Linked DNA regions of Mus musculus. Each later gene encodes a partner of the first gene's protein in a complex. Links are inferred from orthologs where the notes say so. Each region holds a gene or a part of one and is shown on either strand. Other genes may lie near its edges. The genes, in order: Xirp2 and Nebl.

What was found.
Region 2: the proteins of Xirp2 (region 1) and Nebl are in contact, whole or in part, in a crystal structure (PDB 4F14), measured with the Homo sapiens proteins. The link is inferred for Mus musculus from reciprocal best matches to the Homo sapiens genes XIRP2 and NEBL. Residues at the interface, in NP_689594.4 of Homo sapiens: Pro2420, Pro2421, Pro2422, Thr2423, Leu2424, Pro2425, Lys2426, Pro2427; in NP_006384.1 of Homo sapiens: Tyr963, Asp964, Tyr965, Asp969, Asp971, Glu972, Ile987, Asp988, Asp989, Gly990, Trp991, Met1004, Pro1006, Asn1008, Tyr1009.

Annotation. Positions count from the first base shown.
Region 1 is NC_000068.7:67,441,833-67,450,904, forward strand, and holds the start of Xirp2 (xin actin-binding repeat-containing protein 2), read left to right. Parts: upstream 1-4,169; 5' UTR 4,170-4,322; intron 4,323-9,072.
Region 2 is NC_000068.7:17,456,909-17,466,064, reverse strand, and holds the start of Nebl (nebulette), read left to right. Parts: upstream 1-3,208; 5' UTR 3,209-3,398; intron 3,399-5,519; 5' UTR 5,520-5,526; coding exon 5,527-5,607; intron 5,608-5,708; coding exon 5,709-5,780; intron 5,781-9,156. UniProt on the Homo sapiens protein: Binds to actin and plays an important role in the assembly of the Z-disk. May functionally link sarcomeric actin to the desmin intermediate filaments in the heart muscle sarcomeres.

The DNA.
Region 1 (9,072 bases):
GCAACTAGCATTCAAGTATGTTATATATGCTGAGTAATAAATTATGTATTTTAATTATAAAAGTGTTAGATGGACCCCTTTGGTCCAGAGTTTTCAGTTATAGTAACTGAAATATAGTTGACCCAACTATAAAACAGGCACTTCCTGTCTGTATAAGGACCAAGTAGCTTACCTGCTGTCCTGCACAGAGAGCATAGCAATTGCTGGCATACACTAAGCCTTTGCCTCATTTTCTATTAATATAATGAAGATTTTGTTCCTCACAAAGCTTACTACCATGACACATAATAATGTTTGGAACTTTTTTATTTGATTTTCTAAATTTACATTTCAAATGTTATCCTCTTTCCCAACTTTCCCCCCTCCCAGAATCTTCCTACCCCATCTCTCCCCCTGCTTTTATGAGGGTGTTCCTCCACCCACCCACTCACTCACTTCTGCCTCCCAACTCTGGCATTCCTCAACAAGGTCATCCTGTGCTACATATGTGGCTGGAGCCATGGGTCTCTCCATGTGTACTCTCTGGTTGGTTGTTTAGTCCCTGGGAGCTCTGGGGCGAGGTCTGGTTGGTTGATATTGTTCTTCCTATGGAGTTGCAAACCCCTTCAGTTCTTTCAGTCCTTTCTCTAACTGCTCCATTGGCCACCCTATGCTCAGTCCAATGGTTGGCTAAGAGCATCTGCATCTGTCTTTGTCAAGCTCTGACAGAGCCTCTTAGGACACAGGCTCCTGACAGCAAGCAATTCTTGGCATCCACAATAGTGCCTGGGTTTGGTGTCTGTATATGGAATGGATCCCCAGGTGGGGCAGGCTCTGGATGGCCTTTCCTTCAGTCTCTACTCCACACTTTGTCTCTGTATTTCCTCCCTTGAGTATTTTGTTCCTCCTTCTAAGAAAGACTGAAGCATCCATACTTTGATCTTCCTTCTTCTTGAGCTTCATGTGGTCTGTGAATTGTATCTTGGGTATTCCGAGCTTTTGGGAACTTTTAAATTATAGTCAGTATAAATAATGTCTCTGAAAACATGTAACTAAGGAGTCAGCAGAATTAAGATCAATGCCCGTTGTTTTTCGCTTATTATTAACTTTATCTTTGAAAGAGTTACTTAATTTTCCTAATCTTCAGTTTTATTAGAAATAATAGTGTCAATTGCTTGATTTGAGAGCAAGATGAAATAAATGTAAATAACACAAATCAAATCTATAACATAATCCTTTTATATAGTCCAGATGTTATTTTTAAGGGAAAAAATAACAGAAATAAGAACATATATTAAATTTCTTGTACAGTACTTTTAAGAAAGATTTTAGATTCATAAAAAACTGAAGAGAATGGATGAAGTTTTCCATCCACCTCCTCCTACATAGGCCATATCATCACTGTCCTTAAGCAGAGTTGAATCTTTCTTGTGATTTTGATGAATTCACACTGACACACTTAGATGTCATAGGTCTATACATTAATATTCAAATTGTACATTCATTGGAATTGACAAGTGTATAATAACACACAACCCTAGTACAGTGTCATTCAGAAAGAGCTTCTATTTCAGCCTAGTCTCCCTCCATTAACCCTTAAAAACTTTTATTTTTTCATACTTTTGCCTTTTCTAGAATGCACTAACATTGAATCCATATAGTATGCAGATTTTTGCAGTAGATTTACTATTTGATTTTCCTCGATGTCTTTCTGTAGCACTGAATAGCATTCTAATTTCTAACTGTGCAAGATTGTATTGATCAGTGAAGGATAGATAAATTAATTCCAAATTTTGGTAAATACCTTTTTTGTCTACATCTCCTTGCAGACTTCTGGGTAGACGTGTCATTTTAACTTTAAGCTGGGCTATAAGTAAGAATACATGTGGCCTATAAACAACCAAGGATCGTCCTCTCTCATTGGATCAGGAGTGGGTAAAGGGTCCCAGTGCGCTGAATCTTTGTAGACATTTGGTATTTTCATGTACTGTATATATCAGTCATTTTAACAGTTATGCAGTCATAATTCACTCCTGTTACTTGCGTTTTTCTGATGGTAAATGGTGTGAAGTCTCGTCCACATGCTTCTCTGACATCTATAACCACCTCAGGTGATGAATGTTAATTTCCTTGGTTCGTTTTGAATTTTTTTAATTCAATTGTTTTAACCGATGTATATAATAATGAAAGTTCTACATATGAGTGGATATTGTGCAATAGCTCAATACATATATGCATTATAGAGGATTTAAATCAAGCTAAGTATGTTTATTTTAATCATTGTTTTTTTCATAGGTTGTATAAGTATTTAAATCAGAAACATTTTCCCTGAAAAGTCAAAAATAAAATAGAGAGGAGATCATTGTGAATGAAACCAGAGGAATTAAATCAAGAAACTAGTCACTAAAATAAAAAAGAGTTCATTTGAGCAAGAGAGATGACAAATCCTAACATCAGATATTTGAGCAATTTACCTTATTGCAAACAGTATCATTAATATCCAAATAAAATAATAAAAATAATAAAGTTGACCGCATTTATATATTAAGATCAGTCTCATAACTTATGATTTTCGATATACTGTCTCTTATGAACATGGTGCATTAACATGATTTTCTGAGAAATATTATGTTGGAGTAGTAATATTATAAGCACAATTAATTTATTTTCTCATTTAATCTTGGTAACAACCGTATAAAGACTCTGGAACGTACCCTAATTTAATCAAAGATGAATGTATTAGAATGTATATGAATGTTCAACTTGTCCAGGTAACAGAGCACTGTTTGTGTAAACCTGTGCTGAGATCCAACGTGACATGAGCAATGGTGAGGGGATCTTCCAAGTGATAAGAGCATTCTCAATGAAGAAACACACGTCACAGTTGCAGACTGGGTACTTGAGATATAGTTAGTACAAGTGTGGAACTGAAAATTAAAATTTCATTAAATATTAATAATTTAAATTTCTGGTGACCACATGCCTAGCAATGACCATACATACTGGTCAACAAATCTTGAGATAGTTTACACTGGAAAATCTTGTGGAATACTCAGGACCATTGAGTAAAGATTTTTGTAGAGATAAGAAGCTGCAGTATCACTAGTTGCACTACTTTTAATAAAAACCTGTAGATGAAAAAAAAAAACATATATGCTTATATTCATTGATCATAGTATGGTCAATTGTAAGCTCAGTTATGTTTTGCAATTAGCAGTGTAAAAGTAAGATGCTTTCTTCAAGTTGCAGACAATTTCCTTTGTTTGTTTTGGTTTTTTGTGAGTCCAGCTGCATAGGACACACAGGGCACAACTCTGGGAAGTTATAGAAGAGTTGAAAGGTTGGTGAGCAGGATTCTTCATTCTAACGCATTCTAAAGAATGTGGCATTATGAAGCTGAAGGGTAATATCAGCTAACTTCCGTCTCCATTTGGGCTAGCAGAGTCTACTGAGAAAGTACAGTGGCAATGGTATGTAATAGAATTCTCTCAAGAGCACATAAGATGAATCTTTCCCTGCCTGATCTATCTTGCCCTTTCCTACTAAACACTACAGTATGAGTGCTTTATGAGGGAAGACTTGAAAAGCAAACATTGCTTTACACACCGAGAATATGAAAATTGTAAATTAAAAAAAAATCTATGATGATCCCAGGGTGATCCTCCAATATTTCAGTCTGTAGAATCTGAGATAGGAGGATCCAGCCCATTGCACATAGGAAACACCTACTTCCTATAGAAAAGAAAAGAAAACAAGAATCAAAGTTCCCTTCTGAAGATTTCAAGTTAATTATCACTATCCCAAACAGAATAAATAAGATCAACTTTTTGTGTGCTTTGTTTTCAAATCCTTTACTCTTAAGTGAGTAAAGGTATCTTTTAAAAGCAAGCAATTGAAGTCCTTTAATAACCCCACTTTATTCATTATTTATTTCTCAGAATATGTTGAGAAGTTCAGACTTTGGTGTGATAGTGGCTATGGAAGGGAGTTTGAGTGACTGCACATGTGTCAGAGCCATGCATACATTTCTCAGGAGAGTACTAAGCAGTATGACCTCAGAGACTCACTTCTGAAAGGAGTGGTTGACTCAAGCCCCACCTAGACAGAGCTCAGTTCCTAAAAATAGGTGCTAGGTTGCATCCTTTGGACACAGGGCTAAAATAAATTCAGCAGCCCTGCCTGCTTGCCTCATAGACTCTTCGGTGGAGCTGGTCTCCACTCTGCTGGTTGCTTTCAGGGGACTGGGAAATTTGCTGTGTGTCAAACAGGGAGGAGCCTTTCAAGTGAAGAGTTGCAAATCCATAGAGCATTTCTACGGAGCTAGGGTCAATTCTGGTACAAAGGTATGTGTAATAGAGTCCCGTGTGTGCCAAGGTTATAAAATGTTCGACTCTTACTGAAAGAGCAGTGAAGACTGAAAGTCAAATGTCATTATATAAAAGAAAATTGATCAAGTTGGATTTGTTCTTAGAATTGTGCTTAGCACTGTTGGATATGAAATTTAGAACCTCATGTGTTAATCTCTCTCCAATAAATTATTTTAATGTTTAATCTTAAAGAATAATGAGCTTAATAACCAGTCACAACTTAAAAGTTATCCTACAATTTACAGCCAGAAGGGAAACTGAAAAATGCTTTGTCTCTCATGTGCGCAGAGAGAAAAATATACAGATTAAGAAATGCGAATGATATTTCATGAAGCTTGATGAGGAAAAAGGGGAGCCTGAAACGTTTTCAAATGTTTCAGCACACTCTGAGAAATGCAGGAAAGTTATTGCTTCTCAGTCATAGTTTGATTTTTGTAGATCTTGCTCTAGCTGCGGGCTTATGTCCTCTGGGAGTCTTACTGAAGTTAAGGATTAAAGAATCAGGTTCTTCCATGTTTTTCAGAATTAAGGAAAGCACTTCCAGTTGGATCTGCCAGCCCTAATTACGGTAACTGCAAACTCAGAGTATACTGAGATAGTGCTTTGAGGGTATCATGCCCTATATACACTTTCAAATGTATTTTTTTTTTCTGTCTTCAATTGCCCATGAACATGTTAATTTGGTCCTGTTGTGCTGTGTTTGGATGCTAAGAGACTGAAGTGATTTGGGAGTGACAGTCTAAGAGATTCTCCTAAGACATGGTGGGAAAGCAAGGACTCTCTAAGGTTGCATAATGCTGGGTTTAAATTTAGCCAGCTGGTGTTGAACTGAAAGATATTTTATTTTTACCAGAGCTCAATTTGGTCACTGACGGAGCTGTTGGTTGTTTGACACATTTTAAAATTTTGTGTTAAGGTGTCAAAAGACAAGTTAAATATTTACTTCAACTGTATTCAGAGTTATGGATTATTTTTTAATGAAAGGATACCTGTTGATAGTTTTAGACAATATAAAAGGGAATGGAAAATGTTGGGGCAGAAATCAGAAATTCTGCATTGTATGTTTAAATATCTCTCTGCTTCTTCGCTTGATATTTGAGTATTTTCCCTTCTTGGTATCCACGCATCAGCTAAGAACTAGATCCGTTTTTAAATATCACTCAGAGCTTCGCATGGCTGCAATGTGGCAAACTGCCCGCTGCCTGGAGGGAAGACACAGTCTGGCTTTTAGTTGGAACGGGGTTTCTTTCATCCAGGAGTGGGCGGGCGTCTTTTAGGTGTAGCTTCCTCAAGTTTCTGAAAAACGAAAGTCGACATTCTCTAATGATCACGGGAGCCATAGCTTCAGAAAAGGTCCCCGAAAAAATGTCAGCACAGGTGCCTGCTGTCTCCTGTGATTACAGAGAACAGGAAAGCTGCCTTCATGCAGGTCTGCTTTTTCAGAGAAAGTCCAACTTCAGAGATAATTCGCTGCTATTTACAAAAGTTCTGTCCCTGCTGTTTATTCCATTCCAGATTTCCAACTCTTACTTTGGATTTGCCAAATTTGAAAAAAATTAAAAACTTCGATGTAGCAACTTTGTTTTTTACCTAGTTGAAAACTGTTAAGCTCAATGGAAGAATTTCAAGTTTGAGTTTGTTGTTCTCCTCCCTCCCACTTGGGTGCTCTCTCTCTCTCTCTCTCTCCCTCTCTCTCTCTCTCTCTCTCTCTCTCTCTCTCTCTCTCTCTCTCTCTCTCTCTCACACACACACACACACACACACACACACACACACACAGACTCATCAGTTTATGTATTAAAGGAGTCCACTGATAAGGTCTGTTTGATAGCAGGGAGTCTATAATTTACAAGGCAGGGTTGACAATAAGAAAATGGCAATATAGTTCTAAGACTTTTTGATTAACAATCTGTGTGAGATAGGGTTTAATATAATTACCATGTCCTTTTTTTATTTGCATCTCATCCAGACTTTTGAAAATATCCAAGTTACCCTTTGAAACTTAATTAAGTTGTAATTTGCTTTTTTTTTTCTCATTTCCTTAAAAGAAATTGGTTCATTCAACTGATGCACTCATCCTGTGCTGAGTGTTGACAAGCTTCACCCTTTTCAGATCCAAGGCAGCCTTGTCTAGAACACTGATCTATTCCACGTGAATACATGTCCATATATGGTTGCATTGGGTGTTTCCATTTCCATTTCCTGATACTACTTACAGAACATACATTGCAACCTTTCCAATTACAGACAGTTCTTCTATTTCCCTAACTCCACTGAGCAGCCCACAGACTCGATCCAATTCTGGCACTACTGCTTCACTTTAGCAAGTTCGCCAGAATATACAGACTGGATCAGAGTAATCTGCCTAGGATAGCAGCTGGAATTGAGAGCCCAGCCTTCTGGCCCTTTCTCCTAACAAAACTAGACCTTCCTCCCGTCTGATAATTAATGAAAATGCCTCAAAACACTCTGCTTACCATCATAGTTATGTTGTGAAGGATACAATTACTCTAATATAGAGATGTCCATGGCAAAGCACTGGGGGAAAGGTGGGGTCATAGTTCCTTACCCAGGCCACTCCTGAAAGTAAGGGATCTCTGGAGCAAACAGGTTTATTGAAATGGGAATAGTGTTAGTCTGAGAAGGCCCATGCTCAGGGACAAATTCTATATCCACCAGCTTCAAGGGTAGGTAGAAAGTCTGTGGAAGCTAAAGACTTTCAAGCAAAATATGGAAAAAGGGAATTTATGTGTATTTCTACTCAGCCTACACTGGTATTAGTTATTGGAGGAAGTTTTGAGATAGGACAGGCCACAAAAAGAAGTATCTATTTATTCTGAAAGGCTGGAGTACTAAATAGCTAGAATGGGCTTCTAAAAGGTAACCACTTGGGATTTGGAATCAGGCTATTATTATTATTATTATTATTATTATTATTATTATTATATTAAAATATAAAACTATATATTAGCATGATTATTGAAATTTAACATAAACATTAAATATGTTATGCTTTCAATAAATCATATATTAAATATATATGGGGATATGGAATATATTTCATTGATAGATAACAGATAGAGATAGAGAGAGATGGATAGATAGATAGATAGATAGACAGACTCACTTTTGTTTCTTTTCATACTGTGTTTCTTTTTTTTTTTTTTTTTTTTCCATTTTTTATTAGGTATTTAGCTCATTTACATTTCCAATGCTATACCAAAAGTCCCCCTTACCCACCCACCCCCACTCCCCTACCCACCCACTCCCCCCCTTTGGCCCTGGCGTTCCCCTGTACCGGGGCACACAAAGTCTGCGTGTCCAATGGGCCTCTCTTTCCAGTGATGGCCGACTAGGCCATCTTTTGATACATATGCAGCTAGAGTCAAGAGCTCAGGGGTACTGGTTAGTTCATAATGTTGTTCCACCTATAGGGTTGCAGATCCCTTTAGCTCCTTGGATACTTTCTCTAGCTCCTCCATTGGGAGCCCTGTGATCCATCCATTAGCTGACTGTGAGCATCCACTTCTGTGTTTGCTAGGCCCCGGCATAGTCTCACAAGAGACAGCTACATCTGGGTCCTTTCGATAAAATCTTGCTAGTATATGCAATGGTGTCAGCGTTTGGATGCTGATTATGGGGTGGATCCCTGGATATGGCAGTCTCTACATGGTCCATCCTTTCATCTCAGCTCCAAACTTTGTTTCTGTAACTCCTTCCATGGGTGTTTTGTTCCCACTTCTAAGGAGGGGCATAGTGTCCACACTTCAGTCTTCATTTTTCTTGAGTTTCATGTGTTTAGGAAATTGTATCTTATATTGTGGGTATCCTAGGTTTTGGGCTAGTATCCACTTATCAGTGAGTACATATTGTGTGAGTTCCTTTGTGATTGTGTTACCTCACTCAGGATGATGCTCTCCAGGTCCATCCATTTGGCTAGGAATTTCATAAATTCATTCTTTTTAATAGCTGAGTAGTACTCCATTGTGTAGATGTACCACATTTTCTGTATCCATTCCTCTGTTGAGGGGCATCTGGGTTCTTTCCAGTTTCTGGCTATTATAAATAAGGCTGCTATGAACATAGTGGAGCATGTGTCCTTCTTACCAGTTGGGGCTTCTTCTGGATATATGCCCAGGAGAGGTATTGCTGGATCCTCCGGTAGTACTATGTCCAATTTTCTGAGGAACCGCCAGACTGATTTCCAGAGTGGTTGTACAAGCCTGCAATCCCACCAACAATGGAGGAGTGTTCCTCTTTCTCCACATCCTCGCCAGCATCTGCTGTCACCTGAATTTTTGATCTTAGCCATTCTCACTGGTGTGAGGTGGAATCTCAGGGTTGTTTTGATTTGCATTTCCCTGATGATTAAGGATGTTGAACATTTTTTCAGGTGCTTCTCTGCCATTCGGTATTCCTCAGGTGAGAATTCTTTGTTCAGTTCTGAGCCCCATTTTTTAAGGGGGTTATTTGATTTTCTGAGGTCCACCTTCTTGAGTTCTTTATATATGTTGGATATTAGTCCCCTATCTGATTTAGGATAGGTAAAGATCCTTTCCCAGTCTGTTGGTGGTCTTTTTGTCTTATAGACAGTGTCTTTTGCCTTGCAGAAACTTTGGAGTTTCATTAGGTCCCATTTGTCAATTCTCGATCTTACAGCACAAGCCATTGCTGTTCTGTTCAGGAATTTTTCCCCTGTGCCCATATCTTCAAGGCTTTTCCCCAC
Region 2 (9,156 bases), about 50 Mb from region 1:
CATCATCTAGTTTTCCCATGTTTGTGTAACATTGTTCTAACAGCTGATCTCAAAGTGCTTCCCTCAAGGCTGCCTCTCTGTTTTTGCATAGGAGGACTTCATCCTGTTTTCGAGGATTGATGTACAACGTCCTCCAGACCCAACATGAGGAACAGTTTCTTTTACATGAGTGACTATGGAATTATTTATTTTACTGTGCTTCCATAAAACTCAGAAGTCCTGTAAACAAACCGTGTTACAAACTAACTGGCATGCCATCTATTTCTGAGTGCGTTAAAGAATTGCCAACAGTGATTAAGCCTGTTCTCTCTCTCTCTCTCTGGCTCTGAATGGGGTGTTGACAGCCAACCAAGAGCTTCTTCAATAAATCCATTTTCATGTTCAAGTTTTTCCAGATGTGAGAAATAATTAAATCTTTGCATTTATTGGAGCCATTTTTGCTTTTCAGACAGGAACTGGCAGCTGGAGTGAATTAACTCTGCCTGAGTGTGTATATAGTGTTTGCGGTATGTGTGAATGTACATACACGCATGCATATAGCACTTGTCAATAATAAAACAAAGTTAGACTTGAAAACAACCCAAAATGAGAGGCTGGTTATGACAACTCATGCTAAGCATTGTCGTAGGGATGCTTCATAACTGAGAGCCCGCTCTCCACTGAGTCCCCTGTTCTTTATTGTTCTGCTAAATGTTAAAGAAATGAAAAGATTCATAACTGTTAAGTGATATATTTTTAAAAATATGTGATTCTTATAAAATACAAAATAAGTGCTTCTCAAATATTTCAGTAAATGAGGGGACTGGTAAGATGTTGCAGTTGGTTCAAAGTGAATGGCCTTCATAGATACATAAATAGGAAGGAATGCTGAAATGAATTTAAAACTGGATGCAGAGCCAATAATCAATTGTGTCCTCTAAGATATAATTTACACTCCTAAAGATTAGATTATTATCATTTTTTCAGCATGAAGAATTACAGCATAGCTTAAAGACAGTCAAAGGACAATATAGTTACAAAGAAGCATTTGATAAGATACTCAAATTTTTTATGTCAGTGTCAAAGTCTTTCACAACTATTCTATTTTTAAATTTATTTTATTTTATTTTTTATATATACACTATCCATTCCTTCACTGCTCCCCTCCAGGTCACCCTCTCCCACAGCCTTTCCTCCTTCCCCCTTCCTCTCCCATTCTCCTCTGAGCAGGGGCAACCCTTGGGTATCCCCCTACCCCAGCACATCAAATCTCTGCAAGGCTAGGTGCTTCCTCTCCCACTGAGGACAAACAAGGTAGCCCAGCTAGAACATATCCCACATACATGAAACAGCTTTTGGAATAGTCCCTTCTCTACTTGTTGAGGACCCACATGAAGACCAAACTGCTTATATGTGATATATGTGCGAAGAGGCCTAGGTCCAGCCTGTGTATGCTCTTTGGTTGGTAGTTCAGTCTAGACCCTGAGAGCCCCAAGGGTCCAGGTTGGTTGATTCTGTTGGTCTTCCTGTGGAGTTCTCATCCCCTTTGGGGCCCACAATCCTTCCTCCTATTCTTCTATAAAAGTCCACAAGCTCCATTCACTGTTTGGCTATTGGTGTCTGTATCTGAGTTAGCTCCTGTGTGGAGCCTCTCAGAGGACAGCATTTTTCTGTCTGAAAGCATAACAGAGTATCATTAATAGTGTCAGGGATTGGTCACAACCATTCTTAGTACATTCCACATAAAACTTTAGGAAAGGGATACATGCATGCATACATACATACATACATACATACATACGTGTTTGTACACACACACATTATACATACACATACACATACATATACATCTTCCTTTTTGTGTAGTAATCAAGATGTTTGATCCTGCCTGGCTCTCTGGCTCTGGTTAAAGGGTATATTCAGATAGTTAAAGCCATTGACTTCTTTTGTATGACTGTGAGGGCCCAATAAGAAAATGGGGTTTAAAGGCTTATATACCCCTTCATATTATATCTTCATATGGGAGAAAGTATTGAGTCAAGATGGAGGCAATTTTAGGGAAGAATAAATGATTTACTGGGGGAGGGGGTGGTGAGATATAGACTCAGAAAGACAACAGACTGAGACAAAGTTTGTTTCGGCTTTGGGTGTTTGGTTTCCTCTTCTTGGTTGATGAAATAACATGGTAGAAGCCCACTATGTTCGCTTTTGGTAGAAGCAGCCTTTGTGTAAATAAAGAATTTTCAAAGAAGAGCTCTTTCCAGATTCTGCTGATTCCCCAGTGTCTGTAATCTAAAGCATCCCATGGTCTGAGGCATCATATTTTCTGGTATCTCCCATCTCAGCTCAGAACTCAATTGTAATTTATGATAATACAACATTAAACTTACACTAGGATTTACGAAAAAGGATAGGTATTTTTGAAACGTAATAACTGCCCACTAAGGACCCTTTTCTAACAAATTCCCCAAGTCAGAGTTTATACCTATTGACAGAAAAGCTTGACTGATAAAATCAGGGCTTAAAAAATATAGAGGAAATTTGACATGACTTTTATACTATCTTCTTATGCAAATGAAAAGAAGACACACTAAATCAAAAGTAATGGTGTATGTGGCTTGCCAGAAAGTCCATTAAAGAGTTCACTCAGCAAGTTTTGAGGTGATTTTTTTCCTGCCAGGGTATGTGCTACTTACTACTGGATCTCCTTATCCTGGTGTAGAACCAGCATAACAACATCAGTGTGTACTAAGCAGGCATCAGTGTGTACTAAGCAGTTCCTATCACACTGTTTTGCAAAGGAAGCAAATAGTTCACTGTTCTTAGCCTTCTGTTTGTCCTCTCTGAAGGAAAGCATTCTAAGTGAGGGTTTGTGATGGTTGTCAGCACTGGGGCCCAACAGAAGGCCTTGCATAGAAGCAAGCAAACTTGGTAATAAGCCAGCTGTGTTCCTAGCCATCTTTTTATGTTTATTTAAGACATGGTCTTGCTAAGTTGTCCAGGTTGGGATGAAGCTCTCTCTGTAGCTTGGGCTGGGCTTGAAGTTGTGATTGCTTTGCTCCCATCTCCTAAATTGGCTGGAAATGCAAGCTTTAAAGATTTTAGTAATGTGACTTTAAAATTCTGATTCTGACCTCTTAAAAGAAAAAATATGTTCATATTATGTGTGGTGTTTGGTGTGTCTTTGAAACTTTTGTGCATTAAAGGTTAACTGATTATTTTATTGCAGCCCAGCGAAGAACCATTAAGAACTCACAGCAAGATTGAAGATGAGAAGAAATCCTGCTTAAGCCTCAGGCACGCCATTCACTATGGAAACAGACATCACCCAAAGCAACATGAGCATTGTCATCTGAAGTGGAAGCTAAGAGGTTCATCTTGGACAGCGTTGGGATATTTTTTCCTATGTACTTCTGAAGGTTTGCAAGAAAAGTTTTTAGAAATTATTCCTCCGTAGAAAGCATTTCCTTCCTGAAGGTAGCACAGAGGAGCCTCTACAGAAGCAAAAGACAGCCTTAGGGAGAGGACATGAGGGAAACTTATAGATTGCAAATTCTCCTTACAGGACAAGTTTATAACAAACGAAAAGAATTCCAGTAGACGTGAGGGACGACATGGCTGTTATCTCAAAGTTTCCCAATTTAGCATTCCGGGGACAGTTCCTTTCTGGCATTTTGCTGGTTAAGTGGGGTCTGTGATACCCTTAATTTGACCTCTATTCAAAACTGTTTAATGAGAAAGCCAGCAAATCATGAAGAAGTTAGTCAGACGTAACAATGTTTTCCTAAGTCACATTTCACAGAGGGCACTGGATGCCATTAAGAGACAATAGTAGGCAGAATAGATGTGGAAACAGGAGGCAGACAGGATTCTTCTTTTAGAAGGGAAAGATTTAGTAAGTTGGGTAGGGCTTTTGATTGACGGTCATCACAGGTCTCTGCATGTGTCACTGTGGTGTGTAACACTCATCCTGACAACTATAGAAATTTCTTTATAGGTTTCTTGAAGAGATTTGTTTTAGGTCATTGTTTTTTGCCTTATCAACCTTTTTTTGTGGTACAGTTTTGCCTTTTGGAAAAGCATGTGAGAAACAGTATGGTTTTTGATGGATGTTCAGAATTCGAATGACTTATTAGATAAGGCTGGGGCATTTTTCTTTTAAAAACTGATAAGGACGTGTACAGAGATAGATATTCAATAGTTAAGACTATATAAAATGTAACATGAAACTAGCTCCACAACTTCAGAATCACTATTCTACCTTCATAGATGTTCAATGGGATATATAGACATTAGATCTTCTTAACTTCAGGGTGTTTTTTTAAATTAAAAATATTTTACAAGTTATTAAAAATAAATTGAAAACAAGATGATATCAAAATATATTTGGCTATGTAGGAATGAAGTATTATTTTGGATAAAGCTCTATTTTATGTAATTAATTTAATTAGTCACCATGGGGTGTTTTTCTAACACTGATCACTGATATGCAATACTTTTATAAAAAGCAATTTTACCTTAAAATTTAAACAGCCAAATTAACACATCAGGAATGAGAGATTCTTAGAATTGCTTAAATCGACAATAAAGGATTTATTTAGAAGAGTTTTCTTAATTATTGAACTAGTAAGATAGTCTACACAACAAATATGGTAATGTAATTTCTTAGTTTTCCAAGTGTGGGATACAGTGAGACTATAAAAGATACTAGTGAGTTAGTGAAAATTCACACAATGACAAAAATGCAGAGCATAATTATTTCCAATGCAGCGATGTTTCCTGAAGTCTTAAATAATATATCAACATATATTAACTTCAACTTCTCATGTTTAATGATGTTTACGATTAATATGGTACAGTATTCCCTAATTTGAGATTAGCAGTTGTAATTAACTCAGAATAGATTCTTTGAAGTGGTTCAAAGGGCTTTTTGTAATAAATTATTAGCCTCTAATCAGCTAATATGAAGTGAGTAGTTTTGGGGGATGTGAGAAGTACACTAAAACCTCATAAAACATTTAATTTAAGTTAATGAAATAAATTTGTATGGTACGGAGTCTCTATATGGAAACAGAATGACTGACATTCCAGAGGAGGCTTTATTTAGACCAAGTTGAGATATCTTTGGGATAAAGGCTTTAGGCCGGTGCTATCTTAGGTGTTATAGCTGAGTAGATTTCTAGAATTGTCAAGTCCCTTTAAAACAATTTTTAAAATTAATTGATTAATTGATTTAAAATTCATTAGTAGAAGATAAAAAAAAACCATTTTGTCTTGGGTTTCCTATGCTATCCTAAGAATGTTGATTTTAAGTTTGTAAAGTTGAGCTTTGACTTAGGAGAGAGTTTTCACTTGTGAGGCTGGGCCTGGCAGACCCTGAGGCTCCTGGGTGTTCACTGACACACCATTGAGATAAGGAGTGACATGAGCCAGGGATAAAGTCTGGCAAGCCTTTGCTTCCAGTGCCCCAGAGACTTGGTAGCTCACGGGTGTGGTAGTTCCTGAGAAGACACAGTTTGAAAGCATTAATATCTTCATAGGGTAAAGATGAAGGTACCTGTATCCGGGGATGTAAAAGAGGAAACTGAGGAGGAAAATGTGGAGCAGGAAGAAAACCAGGAAGCCAAGGTGAGCAAGAAAGAACTCACTTAAGCACAGAACTCTGTCCTTTAACAGATAAGGGAAAATCAGACCTTCTCCCTCCCTCTTTCTTTTTAATTTTCACATAGGTGTCTCTGAAACCTGTTATTGAAGACCTCAGCATGGAACTGGCCAGAAAGTGCACCGAGCTCATTAGTGACGTAAGTGGCTTTAAAGACTTTTATCTTATTTGCTTCCTTTACGTGGAATGGCTGTGTTGTAGAGTCATGGGGCTGGAGAGAAAACTCCCGAGGTTACCAGTTAGAGCACTGTCATTTTCTAGATCATAGAACTAAGTCCAGACATGTTAGGTGATTTCACCAAGGTCATATAGACAGTGATTGTCTAATGGAATAATTGTCCTCATTCCTAATCCAGATTCTGTCTCTTCCGGGTTGTGTAGTCATACTATGTTTTATGGTGTTGTGTTATCAAGCTCATGTTTGAGAACCCCCAAGACTTTAAAATTAGCAGAACGATATCATTTGTCTTGGAAGGATCTCTAAGTGAATGACTTTCAATATGGAAGGCCTTTATCTAAATGAATAGTACTTAACATTCTGAAGGCCATTTGAAGTTTCTGTCAAAGTCAATACTTTTCCATTTGCTTTTAATTGCATCTAACATTTCTTTGCAATATAGTGTGTGTATGTGTGTGTATGTGTGTGTGTGTGTATGTGTGTGTGTATGTGTTAATGGAATTGTACACTGCAAACACTGGTTCACATGATAATATCATTAAAAAAATTTTGTTTTTAGGAACTAAAGCTAGTTTATATGCTATTCCAAATGAAATCCTAGAGTTATTTAATGTAAACACATCCACATACATGATAAATTTATAAACTAGAATTCTAAATTTATAAGCAAGACTATTTCTTACTTGGTATGAGAACCCACCAAATACTCATAAACAATGTAAGAGAACTACTGGCTTAAAAAACATGGAGCTCTATGAAATGAAGTGTGTTTGTATCTGAATTCAGGGAGCTGAGCACAAAACTGGCTGCAACTGTTCTTTGTAATTTGCAAGTTTGTTTCCTAGGCAGTAGCGTAATACTTTGGTCAGTTCTCCAAGGCCAACTTGCTAGAGTCAACTCGACAATAACCTTGGAAATATTATTGATGCTGGTGGATTTAGCTCTTCAAGTATAATGATTATAGTTAAGATGAGATGTACATAAAAAATGCTGCAGTTACTCTTCAAAACACTGTGGTGACTGATAAGGGATAGCTACCCTAAGTTACTCTATCGGTAACTTTTTTATCTTTTGACCAACTTTGTAGTAGATAAAAATGGGCATACTTCTTCCCAAATTCTTGGCATAACATGTTACATAATTCAACTTTGAATTATTTATTTATTTGTGTTATTGCTTAGTTATAACCAGAAGTTGCTTAGCATGTGAAATATGTTTTGTAAACTGCAATAATAAGACATTGGCTGTGATAATTATGATCTTGACACCAGTGGCAGTTAAGATGTATTGAGCACCACATGCCAGGTGTTGTTGATTGTCAGGGTGGGACTCTTATTCATCGCCCTCCTCCCCCCGCCCCACGTCCGCCATTTCACTTTACTCCACTGTTGCTTCTCAGAGTGAATACCCATGCAAAGCTTGTTACTCCCTCACACATCTACTTAGTGACAGCCATGTCACCATTTAGAGGCAGCTTGAAGGTGCTGCCTCTTCCCACTCTGGTATGTTTTCACTGAAGTGTAGTTATTGCTGGGCTGCAGCTCTAATTCGGCAGGTGATATATTGGAGTGTTTGGGGGAGGATTATTATTGGTGACTTAGGAACCTTCTTGTAGGGAGGCACAATGGCTTTTTATACTCGGTGACTGCCAGCACCACACATTCTCTCTTCTTTAGGTGAGATCAAGCACATGGGAGAGATCTCTGTTTATTGTAGATTTATGTTTCATGGTGGAATGTCTGGACTACTTAAGTATTTAGAATATGATTATTGTCCCTTAATTCATGACTGGATATGTGCTCATATTTCACTTCATCGTAGGCTTCCGTACTGATAAGACACTCGTTTAGCTGTTAGAATTTTTACATGGATCAATAAAGATTCTGAAAAAATACACTAATTTCTAAAATAAAAATTATATGAAGGGTTTACACCATCATCTTAATACCAAATATTAGGGCTGACATTACAGTTGAGGAGCGGAATGTGTGTCTAGCATGTACAAGGTTCTCAACTGCAAACCAAATAAGCTAACAACCAAATATTGAATAAATTAAATGTTTATGTTCCTAAATGTTTCAGTGAACTATAACTGAAAGTTTATTGTTCTTCTTTAGTGACATCAGTAATTTTATGGGGAGCAAATGGCCTTATATTTGAAATTTCTTTTTCTTCAAATCAACTTATACTTAAAAATTTCATCTCTGCAGTATAGTAGCATAGCCAGCTTGTTGTCTAAAATACATCAGTCATAGAGTTAAAATAATAGGTATAAAATTGATGTTCTGTCACCTTAAATAGACCTGAGTTCTGGCTGAGCCTGTATTATATGGTGTTTCTAATTGGGAAGGACTAGATTGGTGCCCCGCATTTAACCTAGGACACCAGTCTTTTTCAGCCATCATGCCAAAATCAAAAGGGAACACCTCAAATGCTTTGGTGGCTTTATCAACCATCCTGTCCTAGAGGGGCTAGCTGTTTTTTGTTAGTCTGTCTTTTTGTTTGCTTGTTTATTTGTTTTTTGAGGGTAATTTTGTTTCATATTACTGAGTTTAGATTTGTTACTGAATGAAATTGTAGGCGGGAGGGTTGCTGATTTAGCAGAGCCCTGAACCCTAAAGCTTGTGGAAACCCTCATGTGTTGGAGACCAAGCCATTCATTCATTCAGCAAGCTCCCCAGGATTGAAACAAGGTCAGTAGGACCCTCAAGCCTTGGGCATCTTGCTAGCCTTCCTCCTTGCTACATGTATGCTAATCACTACACACATGCCTTTATATTGTATAGTCCAGGAAGCCTCTGTGTAGGATCCACATGTCCTAACTCACAGGTACAAACTGGGAGTTCCATGGCTTTCTAAGAGCACCTGGGGACAAGGTTCAAACAGAGCCTGGCTATCAGTCCTGTCACCTTGTATTGGTACCTTGCCAACACTGGCGTGGGGGGTTATGGGTTCCTTTGTACCAGGTGCCTTATATGCCTTCCATCGGTTCAATTACTCTTCTTTGGATTTCTCCCAGCTCTGTAAGTTTCTATAGCAGCATCAGAATCAGAACTGTGCATTTTGGAGTGGCTTGGAACTGACGGAGGTGATACTTGGTTTCTTTCCCAGTGTGCCTTATAATGCGGTGTGGAGTTTCACGGGCTTAAGGACAACAGGGCTTTTTTCAGTCCTAATTTTTGACCTGTTGCTGATAGCTTGTGCCTGTTGTCTTTTATAGCAGAGCGAATGATTATGAAATGTCGAGGAATGGATCGAAAAACAGCTTCCCTGCATTCTTCCCTCACCCCTTGAGAGTACTGAAAGATTATCTCTTTGAGTGTGCCATTTAACTCAG